Oryzias latipes: one gene and its partner. The protein of the gene in region 1 binds, or shares a complex with, the protein of each later gene. Links are inferred from orthologs where the notes say so. Each region holds a gene or a part of one and is shown in the gene's direction. Other genes may lie near its edges.

Region 1 (2,819 bases):
AGAAGTATCTACCCAAGCTGGCATCAGGAGAGCACGTGGCAGCCTTCTGCCTGACAGAGCCTGGGAGGTAAAAGCATCCAACCTTTCTGTGGAGCTTCATTCGTGTTTCTGCTCACAGCCCGACAGCAAAGAGGTGATGGAGCACGGGAATATCTGCCAGCAGTAACAGAGAGAATGCATGTACACACAGCCCCCCCCCCCCCCCCCCCCCCACACACATCTTTTTATCTCACTGAAAGTACACAGGCTTTTATTTCGAAGGAAAGTAGTCGTATATCTTAATAATCTTTCCTCTACAACAAAACACTTTAGCGTCTTTCTATTTTTTCTTTGTCACCCTGTTAGGAAGAGTCTGGATCAAACGATTAACATCATTTTAACTTAAATTTTCAAAATAAAAGTTTAAACAATTTTTTTCATGTCTGAATTTCCCAAAACAAACATTACAGTTTTATGCACTCAGGGAATAGAACACTGAATTGTCTGTGCACATGACAGTGCACGTTTGTGTGCACGTGGCTGACTGTTATCTGGTGTTACAGTGGGAGTGATGCGGCCTCCATTCAGACTCGAGCTACCCTGTCTGAAGATGGAAAACATTACCTGATCAACGGTTCCAAGGTGAGACGGTGGACGCTCACATGGGTGCACGTGTTTGTTTTTTTTACATGTAGGTGTGTTGAGCTTCCTCTTTTGTCTGTCAGTTCTGGATCTCAAACGGAGGGATGGCGGACATCATGACAGTGTTCGCTCGCACTGAGGTGGAGGTGGACGGAGTCAAAAAAGACAAAATCTCAGCCTTTATTGTTGAGAGGGCTTTTGGGGGGATAACCAGCGGCAAGCCAGAGGACAAGCTGGGCATCCGGGGATCCAACAGTAAGTGGGGCGGAGTTGGACTCCAAGCTTTGTCGGGTCTGTGAAGCTGAGCTTTGGTTCTACTTCCAGCTTGTGAGGTGTCCTTTGACAATGTGCCGGTGCCGGTGGAGAATGTAATTGGTGAGATTGGAGGAGGATTCAAGGTAAACTGTGCCCTGCTCTGCAGCCTGACCAGTTGAAGGTGTTTGTCGGTCATTAATGGGAGCTTTGTGATGAACAGATCGCCATGAACATCCTGAACTCTGGAAGGTTCAGCATGGGCAGCTCCTGTGCCGGAATGATCAAAAAGCTGATCGGTAAGCAGATATTCTCTGAAGGTTGTGGTGCTTTTCGAAGTCTCTGCATTTCTATATATTCTCTCCGCAGAGATGGCCTCTGAGTACGCCGCCACCAGGAAGCAGTTTAACAAAAGCCTTAGTGAGTTTGGCCTGATCCAGGTATGCTGTCAGCCTCCTCACTGTAATAAAGCAGCTAACACCCAAGCTAAAAAGTCCTCATGTGTTTCTGCAGGAGAAGTTTGCCTTGATGGCCATCAATGCCTTTGTGATGGAGAGCATGGCTTACCTGACTGCAGGAATGATGGATAGACCTGGAGTTCCAGATTGTTCTCTGGAAGCTGCCATGGTCAAGGTAGATGCAGCCTCCCCCCTCCTGTGCTCTATTTCGTGCTAGGCTTGAGCCCCACCCTGATGTCTCTGTGCCGCGCAGGTGTTCAGCTCAGAGGGAGGCTGGATCTGCGTCAGCGAGGCTCTGCAGGTCCTCGGAGGTCTGGGTTACACCAAGAACTACCCGTATGAGCGCTTCGTCAGGGACTGCCGCATCCTACCCATCTTTGAGGTAAAGATGAGGCAGGGCTGCAGTATGCAGGTGTCACTGTTCAGGATCCGATCAGTGCAGCCTCTGGGTGTCCTGTACTAAAAACTGTCCAAGCTGAACATCAGGATTTCCCCGAATCTCAGGAGAAACTGGGGCCTCAGAGCTGACCAGAAGCCTTATTTATGTCAGTTTCTACACGCAAAAAAGTTAAGGAACGCAGGTGGACATCGCCATTTACAAAGCTTAATGTAAACACTGGTGTAGGAAAAATATATGCTGGAGACATTGCTTCCGTGCGCAGTGAGCAAACCTGTACAAGGACTGCTAAATTAGACATTTGGCGACAAAAAAATAAAATATTACAGCAATTCAGTCATGAATCACACGAACATTTTATCACCACTTTTAACAGGCATTTTCTATCAGTCATTAGGTTCTTATGCAATGACTATTAATGCAATTAAGCTCTCAGTGCTGTGAAGCTGATGGAGATCGTGCAAGAGACCACACAGTAAAAACCAAACTGGGAACTACCAGTATTAGTTTTGATGTCTCAAATATTCAGCAAAACATGTCAAACACCTAGGCTATGTCTGAATTTCCTCACTTCTCCCTAACCCATAAAATATGATATAGTGCAGGACTAGAGCCCTAGTTTTAATGCAACAATGCCCACTAGTTTTCACAGAGACTTCTGGGAAATTTCTAGGATTTTGAATTATTATTTTGTAATACAAAATGCTAACGCACCATATAGTGAGTAGTGAGGGAATTCAGACCTTGTTTCTTCAGTTACATGTAAACTACATCTGTGCTTGAAACTGTGGGTCACTGGATTGTAGTGGCTCCGCTTCCCCCAGCTGAAGACGTCAGGCGCATGTCATCAGCAGGAATCATCAGCTGTAGGGATGTCGTTGACATCTGGTGCGATAAAGTGGAAATTATTAATAAATGCCTCAAAAGTGTTTCCCCATCAAGACTGCAATCTCCTCATCTGTCAGCGAAGTTTCAGCTGTTTACATCATCATATGTAGTTTTCTCTTTTTATGTTGCTTTATTTGACACATACTTCCACACAGAGCAGGCTGGTCCTTCTTATCTTTCTGTGTGTGTCTGCAGGGCACGAA
Region 2 (3,450 bases), on another chromosome or scaffold:
AGTCAGTGTTTTTGTGTAAATTGATTTTAATCATTTAACTTAAATAGTTAAACTTCTGCTCTGTCTGAATTCCAACTCTAACTACTGAAAAACTGTGTAGCGTATATGTACATATATATATGTAGTGTCTTGGATTTAAAAAGCAATTCAGACTCCATGCTCACAACTTTTTTTTTTTTTTTACACGGCAGATATGATGTCATCGATTTCACAAAGTTAAAATATAATTACTATGAGCGTTTTGCACCGATTATTTTAGTCAACCGTCTTCTGAAGATAAAAACATTGATTCATTAAAAAAATACATGTTTTTGGTAATAATTGGTCCAACGCAATGCATTGTGGTCTATATTCGCTGATCTAGTGAGCATCATGCACACTGTTTTTTAGCAGAGACTTCTGGGAAATTTCTAGGGCCCTGGATGTTGGAATGGTAGATTTGGACAGCTCTAGTCAGGACATGTCCGATAACGTAAGCTCTTTCAAACGGTGGGGCTCCTACATATTTGGGGTTGCTTTGCCAAATCTTGCAGTTGCTTTAGCAACTCAAAGCTACCGATGGGCGCCGCCCCCTGTCTACGTCACAAATACGATCTTTTTCCAACAGCATTTTTTCGTCTGCTCCTGATCCACAACGATTTGAATAAAAAAGAACTCAGGAAAGCAGTTATATTCTCAACTTTCTTCATATTTGTCCTTCATCACCATAAAAAAGCCAAGAGATCAAGTTAAAAACACCAGAAACGCCGTTTTCACCAGAGCTTTCACAATAATGTGACACTGACTGACGTGCGTCTCCACGTGACACAGGACACCGTGAACACCTGTAAAGACATTCGTCTCACCTCTCTGATGGCAGCGATGGTGTTCTCCGGCGCGTCGTGCGCGCCGCCCCGGTGAGCGATCACGGACACCCGCGCGCTCTCCGCCCCGCAACCCACCGGCTGCAGCACGAGACGGGCTCGGCTGCGCGCCACTTGCGGGAAACGAAACATGGCTAGAAAACAGTACAAGGAAGTGGTGAGGACGGCAGACCACAGCGGACTTCGGGTCCCCAGTAAGACCAGCACGAAGACCAACGAGTGGAGGGCGACCTCGTCCCCCAGCGGAAGCATCGCGGCTCCTCTCCTGTCTGGAAACAGCTGGAGGAAGCGGAAGCACCGCCCGCGCGTCACTCAGACTTTCTAACCTGTCTAGGCACAGATATTCGCCATGGCACAAGCTCCGCCCCGCTGACTTGTGACGGCATCGAACGTGTAACGAAACCGGCACATTCGGCGTCTTTGAACACAGCCGTTAACGGCTGAAGCTGATCGATTCTCCCGTCGGGCCGGATGTGCTCCGTCAAGTCACGACAAAATAAAAGCCTGTAGTTTTTAACCAATAAAAACAATTTACCACAATAAATATAAAACATTTTTTTTCAATAAAATATGGCTATAAATACTATCAGCACTTTAAAACGCCTTACGTGGGCCAGCCAACCAAACAAAATGTGACTTTGAAATAAATTGAAGTAATAAAATAAAAGACTAAGAAAGGACTTCCGGGTCACTGGTCGGCTAACAGATCACTTCCTGTTCTCGTGTTGCTGTATTTTATCTTATTTTATGTCCTTGTCTCCTGTCCTGGTGAGTCTTTTTCCTCACGTTTTGCTTGTAGCAACAAAACTTCATTCGTCAATTAAGATGTTTCGTCTTTATTTATATTTTATTTATATACTAAACAGTTCTGGAGGTTCGACAACTGTTCAGAATGAACTGTCTCTAGTCTCAGCAGGTTACCTTTTCCAGATACCAGAGACGAGTTCAAAACCAGGAATAAGACATTTGACTTACAATACCATTTAGCAAATTTAGGAGGAATTACAACTGTTTTAGTTGACTGTATTGCAAATGTTGTAGTTTATCCATCCCAGATTTCATTGAACATGTATGTTAGAGTCTGGTTGAACTAAACCAGACCAATATCATACCAGTAACTTTAAATCACTTTATGAGATATTGGAAGAAACTAACCTTAACTGCTTTTCCGTCTCTCAGCATACTTCGAAGGATGTTTTTCTAAGTGAAGTTTTTTCTCAGATGGAGTCGCTGTTGCTGCGGAGGCTGACGTCCCGCCTTCTGTCATGTACCAGAGGATCCTGTTTGCTCTCAGGACGGATTGCTTACACCTTGGAGTCTCCTCCTTCTCCACACTCCTCATCAGTTCAGAGCCACCCTGGACCCGTTCCAGCTAAAGTTCCCACTTTGATCCGACACTACGACTCGCCCACCCCCAAATATTCAATGATTTACACCCTGCCACACATTAAGTTCCTCAGGGCGGTGTCCAGACTTAAACTCCTCCAGACCGCCATCACTGCTGTCATCCTGCCTCCAGTGTTTGTCCTGTATTTCCAGGGAGCCGTCTCCTTCTTTTTGGTCAGCTACTCCACTGGAATCGCTGCGTTTGCTGGCGTCATGCTGTACACGCTAAGCCATTTCTTCAGGAGGGTTGTAGGAATGATGTACCTTGATCCATCTCAAACCGTGCTGAAAGTTTCCCACCTTACTTTCTGGGGAAAGCGCAGTGATATGTACATTCCTGTTTCCGATGTTATGACCATTGGAGATACTGGAGATTCAGCGAATGAGACCATCCTCCGGCTTCAGAGGTACAGCGGCCCCGAGACGTTGTATTTCTCTGTGTATTTTGGAAAGGTGGTGGATAGACAGGGCTTTGAGAAAGTATTTGGAAGTTTAACATAAATTCTTTGAACTTTTCTTGGGGGGGGGGAAACTGTTGTGCTGGAAGTTAATAAAAATGTAAACATATTACAGTCCTGACTGTTACCTTCACATGTTCAATGCTAACTAAGGCCGAATCCGAATTCCTCCTCTACCCCTCCGGCTTCTCCCTATTCCTCCAATTGTTGGGGCATTTGGAGGGTCTGAAATAGTTTAAGGGGGCAAACCCTTCAAAAGGGTGATCCTGTAGAGGAGAAATGCATTTCTTCACTTGGGTTTGCTCTGAAGGACTGAAGTTAAGGACTTTTTGTTTTAGCGTCACTCTTTAACGTTATAAAACTGATGTTAGGAATTTTCCGAGCGCTGACGGGGACTATGGATTATGTCGTCGAGTGGGAGTGATGCCCGAATCAGGAGACAATATTTTCCCATATCCCTCCGTTTGGAGGGCTAAATGAAGGGGTAGGGAGAAGCCGCAGGGATGAGGGAAGAATCCGGATTCAGCCTTAGACATCTGTCCGCCATTTGTAGCAGATTTTTCCTGATTGGACACACGGAGTCCAGTTTCAGGATCAATAATTGGTTTTCTGAGCTAAATGAGTTGTAGAAATCCTAAAAGAAATGTTCTCAACGATTAAAAAAAATCCTAGAAATAGATATCTTGGAAGGATCACTCTTCAGAGGAAACCTCAGCTCTCAGAGAAGAAAAAGAAATCCAGTC

What was found.
Region 2: acad9 (region 1) and tmem186 share a complex: the UniProt entries of both Homo sapiens proteins name them as parts of the mitochondrial complex. The link is inferred for Oryzias latipes from reciprocal best matches to the Homo sapiens genes ACAD9 and TMEM186.

The regions. Positions count from the first base shown.
Region 1 is NC_019863.2:25,296,226-25,299,044, forward strand, and holds part of acad9 (acyl-CoA dehydrogenase family member 9, mitochondrial), read left to right. Parts: coding exon 1-67; intron 68-542; coding exon 543-621; intron 622-704; coding exon 705-876; intron 877-945; coding exon 946-1,019; intron 1,020-1,096; coding exon 1,097-1,172; intron 1,173-1,242; coding exon 1,243-1,313; intron 1,314-1,386; coding exon 1,387-1,506; intron 1,507-1,584; coding exon 1,585-1,713; intron 1,714-2,811; coding exon 2,812-2,819. UniProt on the Homo sapiens protein: As part of the MCIA complex, primarily participates in the assembly of the mitochondrial complex I and therefore plays a role in oxidative phosphorylation.
Region 2 is NC_019859.2:36,187,812-36,191,261, forward strand, and holds tmem186 (transmembrane protein 186), read left to right. Parts: upstream 1-1,471; 5' UTR 1,472-1,610; coding exon 1,611-1,631; intron 1,632-2,084; coding exon 2,085-2,750; 3' UTR 2,751-2,819; downstream 2,820-3,450. Other genes in the region: gde1 (glycerophosphodiester phosphodiesterase 1), read right to left, coding at 846-1,115. UniProt on the Homo sapiens protein: As part of the MCIA complex, required for efficient assembly of the mitochondrial complex I.